Danio rerio: one gene and its partner. The protein of the gene in region 1 interacts with the protein of each later gene in a pairwise test. Links are inferred from orthologs where the notes say so. Each region holds a gene or a part of one and is shown on either strand. Other genes may lie near its edges.

Region 1 (8,264 bases):
CTCCCCCGTGATTTGCTCTGAGTTGGTATCGTCCCGCTGAAGCGGGAGGCATAAATGTCTACTGCTCCCTCTTTCAAGCTTTTGCCAGTGACCGCAGAGATGGGGGACACACTCATTCACAGGAACCTCGACCCAAACAAGGATTAAAGAAACAACCTGCGACGAAACAGTAAGTGTGCGTTTCAAACAAGGTATTAAAATTGGATAAATAAAGCATTAAGTGTTTCATAAGAGTTTGCTAGACAGCAAATTGCTAGATTAAAAGTGATGTATACGGGTTATTAATGATGAATTTTTATGTTAGAGTTTAATATTCTTGAGTCTAGATTTGTTTAAAATGAAAGCTTTAAAGGTCATTGGTTTAAATTTTTAATCGTTAGCTAACGGGTAATGCTGCTGCTTAAAATTTAGGTTCGATATGTTTAAATTTTTTTAAGCCTTTTTAAGGCCTACAGTAATCCACAAGCCTTATCCTGGTTTAGTGACACTGATAAATGCCTACAAACAGTTCCAATTGCCCACACTTTTCACTAAATAAATAATCAGGCAGTATCAGTGTAGGCTATATAATTGTATGTTTTATTCAGTTTGTGTTGGTGTAAATTGGCAAACATAATTGTTCTACCAAAATATTCTGAAATAAACAATTATACAAATTTACTTAATTACAAATGCATAACGACCTAAAATAACTACAATGGGGTACTGTAACCACGTTCCCCTTTCACTGTGCAATTAAAAATGAGAAAATGTAGTTGCATTTTGTAAAGAGGTGTGGTTGGGCCTATATTGGAAAAAATATGGTGGCAACCAAATCCTTTAACTCATAATAAATATAAATAATAATAATAAAACAAACCACAAAAAAAAAAAAAAAAAAAAAAATATATATATATATATATATATATATATATATATATATATATATATATATATATATCCCTAATTGTTTGTCATGCTACTTTAAATATTGGTTGTGAAATCTCATGCAATTATGACTTCAAAAACATCATTAGCACTATTAAATTGACTGTGAGCAATGTTGTACTTCGATAGTAGTTGGTTGTTGATATAATTTCAATATTTAGAGTTTTCAGGGAATGCTGTTCTGAATCTCTATTATTAATGGGAAAGTCTGAATGTGCGAATGTAAAACCAACTTTACCAAAATATATAAGTAATATAGTAATCAAAAACAATTAACAGCAATAATAGATAGAACATTTTATGAGGACCACACTCCCAGCATGTGATGGACTGGTCTGTTTGTTCATTATTCACAGAGTCTCTGTTTGGATATTGATGAGTTGTTCCCTCACACCATATCCATGAGAATGACCATCGGCGTCAGGTGGGGTGATGTTCTGGCTCAGCTCAGTCACTTTTTCCATGGTCAATACCTGCCCAAACATCTCTCACTCTTAAGTGGAGTTCAGTGGTGAAGCTTCGATTGGTGGGTGACTGTAAGCCGGGGTCCAGTTCAGTTTCCCTCTGAGCGGCTGATGTGTGTTCTGGGGGTGTAGTGATGAGGATTGAGATAAAGTTGGTTTTATATTCACACATTCAGACTTTCTCCTTAATAATAATCTAATTTCAGAAAAAAACATTGCTAATTATATATTGGCAAAAACAAACAAACATGTAAACAGCCAATGACCATCTAAGTACAACATTGTTTACAGTCATACTTGGATGCAATTTCAGGCTAAATATTCAAAGTAGCATGGTAAACAATATAGGAGCCATTAAAATGAACAAATGTGCAAATATAAAGCCAACTTTTCCTCAATGTGATGAGGGTCAGAATGATAATAGCTTCTACATTTGGATTAAATCTTACTTCACGGCCATTAAAAAGTATTTACATTAAATTCAAAAAGCTGCTTTTATTCAGTTTGCTTTATGATCTTGATCAATATGTGGCCTTTTGAAATAAAAAGCATTACTAAATGTAAGTGCGCATCACAATTAGTTTGTGGCTGAAATGGGAAAATCAAAAAAAGTTTAGCTTTTACCCAATTGCTCTCGCCTGACCAGTTTAATTAAGTTACTTCAAAAAGTAATTACTAATTATATGGTTTAAATTGTATTTAAATTACTTTTCTAGCTTATCTAAAATGTAACTTATTTACTCAATAAGTAATTAATTACTTGACTCCATTTCAAAATCTGCCTAATGAAATTGAACCCTTAAAACGGCAGGTGTCATCACACTTATTCCTGGAGGGCCGGTGTCCTGCAGATTTTAGCTCCAACTCTAATCAAGCACACCTGAACAAGCTAATCGAGCTCTTACTACGTATGCTCGAAACATCCAGGCAGGTGTGTTGAGGCAAGTTGGAGCTAAACTCTGGAGGGACACTGGCCATCCAAGACCAGTGTAGCAGTCGATTCTGGTTCCCCCTCTACAAAGCAAGTCCGCTAACAGAGTCTGCAGACACAACCCCAACACAACTAGGTGTACGGAAAGCCAAAATGGACATTGCTTTCATGTCTTGCAATGCCAAAGTAGCTTAATAAAATGAATCTAACTCTCCCATGAAGTATTTTTTTTTGGTTCTTGTTAGTATTATTAACTTTTTTTTTAAATGTTTGAGTTTATGCACCCTAGTTCAATATTGCGTGAAGGCCTACAGTTATATTAGTCCTTTTCATTTTCAAGTTCAGAAAAAATATGTACTTTTAGAACCACTAGTCTGCTTTCTGTACACCCAGTTGTGTTTAGGTGTCTGCAAAAGCTGTACGAACACCCTTTGTAGAGGGGGAACTGGAAATCCAGAAGGGAACAGAATCGACTGCTACACCGGGAGTGGTGACCCCTGCCTTAAAACCTTTATAAAACCTTAGCTTTATAAAACTTAAAAAACAAACGCCTAACTTTTAAACAACACATTTATCATTAAAAAACCAAAATCTTTTAAAGTAATTGTACAATATTTGATACATATACTAACATTATTTCTGAAAGGATCTAGCCAAATATATTTTTGTATGTAATTTTTATATTTTTAATATATTTTTAAAATGACTAAACTTATTATTTTTAAGAAAACAGATCCAACAGAAGTCTTGAATTTAGTTTTAATCTCTATTTTATTGGCAAAATTGTACATACACAAACAGGAATTGGCTAAATCATCTCCCACATTAACAGTTTTCTGTATCTAGTTTGACTTTATTTCTGTGAAATGATTGAAAAGCAAAAAAATCTGAGATATGTATTAACTATTATAACACTTGTTTGATTCCCCTGTCAGTTTTTAAAATCATTGGATGTAGAATTTCTGTACACTATGCTTTGTGTATTCATTTTAATTAGTTATTTTTATTCATTATTATATATTTATCTATAAATATTTTTTTACGATTATTAAATTAGTTTTTTTGTTTCATCTTTTATATTGTGTTGTATGTTTGTTCCTGATAGTTATGCAATACCAAAATAGGCTAAAACACCTCAATGAAAATAGCAAAATAATAAAACAACAGCACTAAACCAATGCTGTCCTATAATGTATTTAGAGTCACAATGCTGAGTTTATAATCTTACATAATAACCACTTTATAATATTGAAAAATATGTGCAATTTTGAAAAGAAAAATGTAAATGCGGATGAAAAGAAGGTGCTTTGGCGGTTTCTGTGATCGATTCTTTTGCCTAGGGAATCTCTTGAAATCTGCGATCGACCCTTCGGGTATGCTGGTTTTCAAGATGGCGCCGCTCTCATCGTCCACACGTGAGGTGTTCAGTGAAGCAGTTCGGGCTGTTTTGGAAACTTGGCCGGTGCTGCAAGTTAGTAAACTAATAGCATTTGTGATCGGAAATACATATCATATGATACCATGTCTGCAAAATCTATTACGTAAGCTTCAGTCTGATATGAATCGGCAAGCAGACTGATATCAGGATGCGCTTCACAGTGTAAACATGTCTGTGTCGCGATATTTCTTTCAGCTGCTCGTGTATATATACATATACATACATATATATATATATATATATATATATATATATATATATATATATATATATATATATATATATACATATATATATATATATATATACATATATATGTGTATATATATATATATATGTATATATATATATATATGTGTATATATATATATATATACATATATATACATATATATATATACACATATATATATATATATATATATATATATACACATATATATATATATATATATATACATACATATATATATATATACATATATATATATACATATATGTATATATATATATATATATATATATATATATACATACATATATATATATATATATATATATATATATATATATATATATATATATATATATATATATATATACATACATATATACACACACAGTAAATAATGTGTTTTGTTATTAGATAGCGGTGGACAACGGCTTCGGTGGAGCGTTCAGTCAGCAGAAGGCGGAGTGGATGGTGGACGCGCTGCAGCAATACTTCACCGACAACGGTCAGAGCGCTGCACTCAACACCTTAGCAACCGCCAAGAAACCCACGACTGAACATTCTGTCATAATTTTCTCACCCTTCACTTGTTCCAAACCAGTTTGATTTTTTTATTGCGTTAAACACAAAATAAGTTATTTTGAAGAATGTTTGAAACCAGTAACCACTGACTATCCCAGTGTTTTTTCGTACTCTGGGTGTCAATGGTTTTCAGGACTCTTCAAAATATCTTTTGAAGCCACTCGAGTGTGAGCTGGTGAGGGTGTGTAAATTGTTCTATTTTAGTGAATTGTCTCTTTAAGAGCTGACAGATGGTCTGTTTGTGTCCACAGGTGATCTCCAGCAGGATGAGGTGGAGGACTTTATCTCTGAGCTCATGAACAATGAGTTCAACACAGTGGTGGATGATGGCAGTCTGCCTCAGGTCTGTTGTCTTTTGGTCTTGACATGAGAGATCTGAATGAAAGCTAGCTGGAGGTGTGTGTGTGTGTGTGTGTGTGTGTGTGTGTGTGTGTGTGTGTGTGTGTGTGTGTGTGTGTGTGTGTGTGTGTGTGTGTGTGTGTGTGTGTGTGTGTGTGTGTGTGTGTGTGTGTGTGTGTGTGTGTGTGTGTGTGTGTGAGAGATTATTATCATCTACCTTCCTTTCTATATTTTATCTATTTATATCATACTATCTGTTGTTCTATCTATACATCTATCCATTGTTCTATATATCTTTTTTATTCTATCTATTATTCTATCCATTGTTTGATTAATTTATTGTTTTGATCCATCTAACATTCTGTCTATTATTCTGTCTATATATCCATGTCATTCTATCTGTTGTTCTATCCATATATCTGTCATTCTGTCTATTGTTCTATCAATCTTACATAGACATAGCTATGTCTCTATCTCTATCCATCCATCCATCTATCCATCGTTTTATTGATCTATCGATCTTTCATTCTGTCTATCATTTTATCTGTTGTTCTATATATTTATTATTCTATCTGTCGATCATTCTATTATTGTTCTATCTTATCGTTCTATCCTCATTTTTCATTCTGTCTATCGTTCTATTGTTTTCTCTGCAGAGCTATGTCGTTCCATCTGTATATCTATCATTCTAGCTATCGTTTTATCTATTGCTCTGTTGTTTTAGTCTATCGTTCTATCCTTTGATAGATCTATAACGTTATATCTATAAGTCTATTCATATGTCTATGTTATTCTATATATCATTCTCTGTATCTATTGTTTTATCGATCTATCATTCTATTTATACATCTACAGTTGAAGTCAGAATTATCAGCCCCCTTCAATTTTTTTTCTTCTTTTTTTAAAATAATTTTCAAATGATGTTTAACAGAGCAAGGACATTTTCACAGTATGTCTGATAATATTTTTTCTTCTGGAGAAAGTCTCATTTGTTTTATTTCGGCTAAAATAAAAGCTGTTTTTAATTTATTAAACACCATTTTAGGGGTAATATTATTAGCCCCTTTAAGCTAGACTTTTTCTCGATTGCCTACAGAACAAACCACCGTTATACAATAACTTGCCTAATTACCCTAACCTGCCTAGTTAACCTAATTAACCTAGTTAAGCCTTTAAAAGTCACTTTAAGCTGTATGAAAGTGTCTTGAAAAAGATCTAGTCAAATATTATTTACTGTCATCTTGGCAAAGATAAAATAAATACATTATTACAAATGTGTTATTAAATTATTATGTTTAGAAATGTTGAAAAAATCTCTCCGTTAAACAGAATTTGGGGAAAACATAAACAAGCGGTTTAATAAGTCAGGGGGGCTAATAATTCTGAGTTCAACTGTATATCATTCTATCTATATATCAATTGTTCTATAAATCTATCATTCTATCGGTCCATCTATATATTGTTCTATTTATGTATATAAATATTCCATCTATCTCATTCTATATCATTCTATCTATATCATTTTATTTCTGTATCAGTCTATCAGTCTTATTCTATCAGTCTTGCTCTATTGGTCTCGTTCTATCAGTCTTGCTCTATCTAGCGTGTTCTATTTAGCTCGTTCTATCTATAATTCTATCTGTTGTTCTATCCCGTTAAAGACACAATTATAAACGCTCCTGTGAAAGGACTTAATTATTTCGCAAGTGATCATGTTCATGTTTTGTATGCATTTTTGTTTTGTTGATTTGATCACTTCGTGTCCTCATTTTTATTTGTCTCTGAATAGAAACTCATGGATGATTAAATGTGTGTGTTTCTTTGTGTGTGTCAGGTGGCGCAGCAGGTGTGTGGGATGTTCCAGCAGTGTGAGCAGGGCAGATTGGCGGAGGTCAGAGAGCAGATCCTTAAACTGAAACAGAAGAAGACAAGCAGCGGAAGAGCTAAAGCCACTCCTGCACAAACACCTCAGGATGATGATGATGATGATGATGAGGAAGAGGTGCAGTGTATATGTGTTCAGAAAAAAAACAATCATACATTTTTCAGTGTTTTAGACAATTTCTATGTAGAATATAAAGACTTTTTATTTATATATGTATCGATTTATATGCATGTCACTTATACATCTACACTTTAAAAGTCTACATCAACATAACAGTAATATTTTTAAATGAAGGCCACTGTTTGTCCTGTCTTAGGTCAGGCGTTACTGTAGTTTCCCCAACCCTGTTCCTTGAGGCACACCAACAGCATACTGAATGTCTCCCTCATCTGATCCATTCATTTGAGATTTTGGAGTCTCTTCTAATGTTCCAATGAGCTGATTCAGGTGTGTTTGATTAGGAAAAGGTTGAAAATGTGTACTGTTGGTGTGCCTTCAGGAACAGGGTTGGGAAACACTGTTCTACTTTGCTGTGATTTAAAGGGCACCTATGGTGAAAAATCTACTTTTCAAGCTGTTTGGACGGACGTATGTGTGTATAGTGTTTAGACTGTCCTATTGGGGTAATATAAACACACACAGTCCTTTTTTTTTTTCAATTTAACTACATAAAAACGATTGACCAATTGGAGCGGTTTTTAGACCGACTGCAACTTTACGTAGGAGAGCGGTCCCCCCGTCCACCAATATTGATTGTCAGCCTCGCGTCACGATCATATCCTCAGTTTCTTGTTTCACATCCGCCATTTTCAGTGTGTAAGTCAAAGCGATGTCACTAAAGGAACACCCTTGCTCTATTTTTAGATGAAAAGCTCATTGGGCTCAACACAAGATCAATATTCTCCACATTATCGCTCTAATCGGAATTATTGCTTGTACCATTTGCGTGGCGCCGTGCATTTCGGAGTTCTGGGCGTGGGTTTCGGTCGGGGTGCACGCGGCGGAGCTTTGGGTTGGCGGCGCCGTTGTAGTTGCCCTGGTGGAGGCCTGTGTTTGGAGTTCTCGAATGCGTGGTGTGTTTCGATTCGAGACATGTTTCTGCCACGCCACTGAGAGTGTCTGGTGTGCTGTGTCGTGGCGCAGTCATTGCCTCAATCAAGGTTAATTCCGTGTGTCTGGTTATCAGTCTCGGTGTACAAGCTCGGCACTTGTACACAGAGACTATACAAACAAATGATTTTGTACCATCTGCTTGGTCAGTCCTACTCGTACATGTACGGCTGAATGCTGATCCTAGCTAAGCTTTGCTTCTCTCTCTCTGTCTGTCAGCCTGTCTGTTGCAAACACAGAGCGTGGGAGCTTTTGGCTCCGCCCCCTTGTTAAGTTGGGTGGGAAGCCGAAACTAATTTTCATATGAAGCAACACGCCCCTAAAACTGTAAACGCCCACAACATGACACTTTTTAA
Region 2 (7,687 bases), on another chromosome or scaffold:
GAAACACTGACACATTCCTGTGTCACCATGTCTGCCTTTTTCCTCTTCATCTCATGATGGCTTAAAGGCATAGTTCACCAAAACAATTTTATTTTGTCATCGTTTACTCATCCTCCACTTATTCTAAACCCGAGTTTCAGTCTTCGATTAAACACAAGGGAAGATTGACTGAAAAATGCTGGAAAAACAGCAGGTGATTTCCACAGTATTTTTGTTCCTACAACGGAGGTTAATGGCTGCCTTTTTCAAGCATTCTTCAGTCACTCTTCCTTTGTGTTCATCTGAAGATTGAAATTCTTAAAAGTTTAGAATCATATGACTCTTTTTGGCTACTCCTTTTATTAATCTGGGGTTGCCACAATGGGATAACCTGCCAACTTACTCAGCATATGTTTTACACAGCAGATGCTCTTAAAGCTGCAAACCAATCACTGCGAAACATCTGTATACACTTATACACTATGGACAATTTAGCCTACCTAATTCACCTATAGCGCACGTCTTTGGACTTGTGGGGAAAATTGGAGCACCCGGAGAAACCCACACGAACACGGGAAGAACATGTGAACTCCACATAGAAATGCCAACTGACCCAATCGAGGCTCGAACCAGCAACACTATTTGCTGTGAGGTGATCATGCTGAACCACTGTGACGCCCTGAAATTAATATCTTAAAATTATTACACGTTCAAAGAAATTTACAATAAGAATGGGAGTGAATTTGATTGTGTGTTCCTTTCTGTCAGTGGGTCCTTTCCATTCCCATCATGAACCAATAAAGAAAAGGGTTTTTTGGCAACAGTTCCTTCAATGCAGTGACACAGGGGACAGTCTACCGCAGGAGCTACACATCCACTCTTCCATACTGAGAGCAGCTTGCATAAGTACACATCCCTCATTGCCACTCAACTCCAAAAACCAACTCTATAATCACCTCCAGAAGCAAACCAGAGGTTATTTCAGAATATCAACAACCAATCGTCAATCATTTTAGAAATGGAAAGAAGTGACAGCTCTTGAGCATAGTACACAAGTCTGATACAGGAAAATATACAATAACTAACACATATACTAACAAGGATCATTCCAGAACAATAATCAGATAACTGGTCGTGACAAAATATGGTGGTAGGCTATCTCACCAATCTTCTTTGCTTGGGTACAACATTAAGCACTGATGAATAAGTGACTGACTACACCAGATTAAGAGTCTTAGTTCTCATAGGCTTTACTGACATCTAGTGGAAATCTCAATAAGTCACAGATTTCAAGCATCAAATGAATTCAAGGTTTTATACAGATTTATATGCAACTGTTGCCTATTTTTTTAACTTTTGATTTTGATTGAAAGAAATCACCCACTAAATATTACCCAGTGTACAAAAAAACATATAGTCTCCAGATTAACAAGAATCATTTGATGGCAAATTAGAAGATTTATATAATGCCACTATAGGCTGTACTGTACTCATTTTTCATCAGGATGTTTTGTCAATAAAATGTTATAGAATTGACTTTTTAAGTATTGAAATAAGTACGGGAAATTCAAATTTTGAATGGATTTGGAATTGGATTTTAAACCTGGGACAATGGGTATTATTAGGAATCTCTTCATTTTGTGCAACTATAAAAGTTGGCAGAATGGAATGCTTCCAAACTTTAAAAGATAAGTTTGGTTTTCTAAAACAAAACCTATTTAGATATTTACAGTTGCGGGACTATTATATGAAAGAAATACAGGATGAAAATTGGAACAATCAGCTTGTTTAGATTTTCATTCAGACGTACAAGAAGAGAACGACTAAAACATTTTCTAAATTATATAGAGTAATAAGTCATTAATGTTTAGTTGAACTCAGAATTATTAGCCCCCCTGAATTATTACCCCCCCCATATTTGTTCCCCAATTTCTGTTTAAAGAAGAAAATATTTTTTTTTCAACACATTTCTAAACATAATAGTTTTAATAACTAATTTCTAATAACTGATTAATTTTAACGTTGACATGATGACAGTAATTAATATTTGTTTAAGAAAAGTAAACAAAAACCACTCAAACACAGTAATTTGAGTATTTGTAATTAGTTTGTTCGTTTCCACTTGTTTGTTTCCACTGGTTATATGATCCAAAAAAAAATCTATAAAAACTAGATATAAAAAAAGAAATAAGTTTGGCAGTTTCATTTTTATGACAGACACACACACACACACACACACACACACACACACACACACACACACACACACACACACACACACAATGGATAAACAATTCTTTACGAAAATGGTTCATCTGTGTTAATTACTGTGACAAAGTGACCATGTTAGTTTTTGCTACATCAACCCCAGTTCAAGAAAAAAGAAAGAAAGACTTGCATATTTGTTACTACTGTTAGCTTTTAGTAATAAAACAAACAAATAAACCCATGCATACATATAAAATTGGAGATAGAGGACTGCTACCTCTTAATACAGTATTAATTGCAGCACCACAATGGGTCTCATCTGTGACATGTATATTTACCTTGCAGTATTTGGGTTTACCAAGATGTCATATTTCTCCTGTTCTTTCAGGGAGGTCATGTTACCTCACTTTACGTCGAGCACCATCTCTCTTTGTATGTGCATTATATCACAGGTAAAACATAATATGAAGAATTCGTTCAAATGTTTATATATTAAAATTGCACAATATTAAGATCTGTAATCGATTATTGAAATAATAAAATGGGTTTACTTTTAGGGCTTTTATTTTCTTAACTACATACTTCCGGCCGCCGTGTGAACTATAAAAATGACGTAAGAGCTTTTCCGGTCCTCTTTCATGCCTCTCTAAAATCAAGATGGTGAGTTTACCAATCGTTCAGTCAGAGGCTAGTCCTGTATTCTGGCTCGATCTTTACGATACGGCGTATTATCTCGCCGGGTACGCGTTTCGGAGTGAAGTTTATTCATTCATCAGCAAACACTAATCGGTTTTTAGGCAAATTAACCCATTGAAGCGATAAAACGCCTGAGGTGTCTACGCATGTAACGTTACACTAAAGCATCGTACGCATTCACAACTATTACATTTAAACGTAATGCATCTACAAGTTACGCCTTTACGCACGCAAACATAAAAGTGATCTTTTTATATATGTATTTCAAAATTGTAAAGTTAAAATTAAATCACCACACTATATCATTTAATACACAATAGGCCTTATTGCATGTTAAATGAAAAGTGTATCATAACACATAATTTTTATTGTGTTTTTTTATAGCAATTGCAGTATGTAAGTTTATTTCAAAGCGTTATAAAGTAAATATATAATTTTAAGTAACATGCCCAAGCCTGAAATGAAGTAAATCAGTGTTTTTAGGTTGTCCCCTGAAAACCACTTCTCATTGTACTTTTCCACATCTTAGACTAAGAAGAGGAGGAATAACGGTCGTGCTAAGAAGGGACGAGGGCATGTCCAGCCCATCCGCTGCACAAACTGCGCCCGCTGTGTGCCCAAGGACAAGGCCATTAAGAAGTTTGTCATCAGGAATATTGTGGAGGCTGCTGCAGTCAGGGACATCTCTGAAGCCAGTGTGTTTGATTGTGAGTAAACAGTTGCTTTAGAAAATGAGGACACTGATTGTGTCCCTAGTGCCCTTTTGAAACTATTGTTTTAGATGTCTCCTACAATAGATCATCAAAGATCAAAAATCGTATAATACAGGTGGCAGCATCCAGTCTAAAATGGTCCATTCCACGATCCAATCTTTCTAATCCTTTGCTTTTTGAGTGCCTGTTCAGATTGGCCAGTCTGCTGTGATGAGTCAACCACTTACAACAAATGTTGGAAGCCATAGTCATTCTCATATCTCTAGGGTGTTCAAACTAAAATCCTGGAGCACCACTGTCCTAAAAAAAATTGGTTTCAGTTACAATTAAACACACTAGCTTCCAGGCAGTTGGCCCTAAACTCTACAGGATATAGTTTAGACACCACTGCCATAATTTAATTTCTCTGGAAGCTTTCTCTACACTTTCAAATACAGTGATATGAGCTGTAACAGTAGTGCCCGTTTTACTGTAGCAATTTGATCTGCAGACTTCGTCCTTTGGGAGTGCTGATAAGTTAATTAGCTGTTGCAGCAAAATAAGCAGCATCTCAACACAACAGGTTGTTTATAAGGCTCAAAGTTGACATTGTTTACTTCGCAGGCTTTGAAGACCATTCAAGTATGAAATTATGCTAATTTGCTAGAAACCTACATACATTTGTGCTTATTTTTTCAGGGAGAGATTAGTTATGTATTGTGCACTTTGATCATTGAAGCTTTGCAGACTAAGATTTATAAAAGGTTACATTACATACTACATGATGCATGGCAAAGCATGACAGAGGCATTGTACAATATTAACAGTTATGTTTTGTTTTTGTGCAGCCTATGTTTTGCCCAAACTCTATGTGAAGCTGCACTACTGTGTCAGCTGTGCCATCCACAGTAAAGTGGTGAGGAACCGCTCTCGCGAGGCCAGGAAGGACCGTACACCACCTCCACGCTTCAGGCCTACTGTAAGTCTGGTCTTCACATCAGTGTTACAAACATGAATAAATAAAACATGCTATTTTATGCTTTTTTATCTATATGTAACTGTTTTCTGTTTCTTTTTCCAGGGTGGTGCCCCAAGAGCTCCTCCAAAACCAATGTGATCTGGAGCCGTTTACATAATTTTTTTATGTAAAGAAATAAAATTGACTTAAATGTTAATGTGTTCTTTTGTTATTGGTTACTAAAGTTTACCGAAATGCATTTTGAATAGACAATACTACAAATTTTGTTCATATTTTTTATTACCTATTTAAACGCTCAGTTCCATAAGTGGGATGTTTTTCAGTATATTGTGTTACCTTGATAAACTACAGTAGTCAACATTTGAAGTGGATTAAAACCTTTCCTTAAAGTGGAACTGAAACTATACTTGTTCTTTTTATGATCCACCTAAATGTTGACTACTATATATCATGCATTGTTCAACCATAAAAATGGGCTGACCATTAAGGGGTTACGTTTTTGAATAAATGAATGGTAAAGCATTAAATTAGGAATAACCTAATGTATTACAGATAAAGGTGGTGCAGCGGTTAGCACTGTTACCTCACAGCAAGAAGGTCGCTTGTTCGAGTCAGTTGGCATTTCTGTGTGGAGTTTACATGTTCTCCGTGTTCGCATGGGTTTCCTCTGTGTGCTCTGGTTACCCCCACAGTCCAAAGCTATGCGTTATAGGTGAATTGAATAAACTAAATTGGCTGTAGTGTATGTGTGTGTGCATGCCAGAATGTATGGTTGTTTCCGAGTGCTGGGTTGTGGCTAGAAGGGTATCCGCTTGGTAAAACATATGCTGGATAAGTTGGCAGTTCGTTCCGCTGTGGCAACCCCTGATTATTAAATGGACTAAGCCGAAGGAAAATGAAATTAAAGATAGATTAATGTAAATATACATTTGTTAATTGTTAGAGTGGTTCATGTTACCTTTTTAAAGGAATACTGTTAATATTAAAATTAGACGGTTACTTGACAATAGTATATAATATGCTGAAACTGTTTGTGTAAATCATGGGTGTCCAAACTCAGTACCGGAGGGCTGGTGTCCGGGAAAGTTTAGCTCCAACCTTAATCAAACCTGAACCTGCTAATCAAGCTCTTACTAGATATACTAGAAACTTCCTGGTAGGTGTGTTAAAGCAAGTTGGAGTTAAACTCAGCAGGACACCGGGGGTCAGTTCTTCGTACGTGGATTACTCAGTTAGCTGGATTTGGATATTGACGATTTGACACGATCCAGGATCGTTTCGTTCTTCAAAGCTGATCCGAGAGTTGTTGTCATGGCAACAGATCTGCTAGGTCAAACCTGATCGGGAGCAGGTTCAAATCATATAAACAGGATTAGATCGGCTCAGTTCAAGCAAAGATAATACAGAAAGTATGTACCGAGTTCTGATATTTTCTTACAGTAAAAGTTATATACACTTGGGAAAATAGTAGTTTTTAACTATATATTTAAAGTTATAGTCATTAATAAAATAAATAAAGTTTTACATATTAATAAAACGTATGCAATCTGCACCCTCGAAATGAAAGTACAAAGACTGCCACCTGGTGGTGCAAAGAGAAAACTTATTGGTATGAACTTTTTAGATCGCTTTAGTACAAATTGTGTATAATAGAAATGCACAATATGTGACTTTTTTTTAAAAGCAATAATACATTTATGCAGTCATAAACATGTTTTGACAGTTAATATGCCAGTGATTTGATGCTTCACAAAAGTTGCAGACGCCTTTACCAATATCAAAATGCTTTTGGAAACAACCAGTTATTCTTTACACCGATTAAAAAACTGTACTATAATAAAGAAAATCTTTTCTAAATGTAGAACTAAATACACTGATTTGCATTGAAATACATGATGAATACTCTTGTCTTGACAAATGAAAGTGTAAAGCCTGCAGCTCACAACAAATGTGAAGTTACTGCGTGTCTTATTTAACAAGCCGTTTACTGCTAATTTGATGTAATTTTGCTCACATGGATAATTGAATATTAATCAGATGATGTCATTACGCTGCTGTGCCGTCAGCCAATCGTTGCATTGCTGATCATGATTTCGAGGATCGATAGATCTGTCCTTAACAACAAACGCAGCGATCTCAGATCAGTTCATCCAGACATTCTAATCTGATTCGCGAACTTGTTTGAAGAACCAAATAAGCGAGAGATCAGTTATCAAGATTAAAAGATTCAGGATCTGCCAAATCATCTTAGATCATTTAAGCGAGGTACGAAGAACGGACCCCGGCTCACCAGGACTAAGTTGACACCCCTGGTAAAAACAAACTATGGAAAGTTCATTTAAATAAAAGCGAAATCAAATACAAACATTACATGGAAATAAATTTAAACCGGTTGAAATAAAACATGAACCTGAAACTGAATCCTAATAAACGGTATAATTGCTAAACCTAAAGACTTGGAAATAAAACATAGCAACACTATATTATTAACACTGTTGGGTCAAGTAAACTAAAAAATAATACAAGATATACTTTAAATCAGGGATGCTCAACCCTGTTCCTGGGGATCTACCTTCCTGATTAGTTCAGCTCCAACCCTGATCAAACACACCTGAACCAATTAATTAGGTCCTGAACAGCACTTGATAATTACAGGCAGGTGTGTTTGATATGGATTGCAACTGAAATCTGCAGAAAGGTAGATCCCAGTAACAGGGTTGAGCATCTCTGGTTAAAATAATTTGACAACTGAAATTTGATCAAGACTGGACATAAATTAGGGAAAAAGTGTTTAGAGTTGTAAGCGACAGAAGTTACAACAAATATTACTTTATTGGACATGAAAAATTACTTCAACTTAAAGTTGGGTTACACTCCTTAAAAACAAGATCAAATAAACAATACCTCTTGAAACCAACACACCTTTTTATAGAACATGAGGCAGTTTTTTTATATTTTAACAAATTTGAGGTAAAGAGTTTTTCTTTGTCATATACATTTTTTTTCTCTCACAAAATATTTAAAAACATTGAATCCAGGGATAAAGCCCAAGAACGACAGAGTTTGATCCCTGCCTCCCCAAAAACGCTAAGTCTCTCTTTCTCAGTTGCTGCTCGTTATGGTTGCTTCACAG

What was found. The genes of interacting proteins can lie anywhere in the genome.
Region 2: the proteins of tsr2 (region 1) and rps26 interact in binary tests that used the Homo sapiens proteins (3 or more experiments, as listed by UniProt). The two-hybrid records come from large-scale screens. The link is inferred for Danio rerio from reciprocal best matches to the Homo sapiens genes TSR2 and RPS26.

The regions. Positions count from the first base shown.
Region 1 is NC_133183.1:9,896,147-9,904,410, reverse strand, and holds the start of tsr2 (pre-rRNA-processing protein TSR2 homolog), read left to right. Parts: upstream 1-3,699; 5' UTR 3,700-3,712; coding exon 3,713-3,793; intron 3,794-4,406; coding exon 4,407-4,497; intron 4,498-4,825; coding exon 4,826-4,917; intron 4,918-6,747; coding exon 6,748-6,915; intron 6,916-8,264. UniProt on the Homo sapiens protein: May be involved in 20S pre-rRNA processing.
Region 2 is NC_133198.1:30,594,418-30,602,104, forward strand, and holds rps26 (40S ribosomal protein S26), read left to right. Parts: upstream 1-2,833; 5' UTR 2,834-2,844; coding exon 2,845-2,847; intron 2,848-3,412; coding exon 3,413-3,590; intron 3,591-4,423; coding exon 4,424-4,554; intron 4,555-4,656; coding exon 4,657-4,692; 3' UTR 4,693-4,750; downstream 4,751-7,687.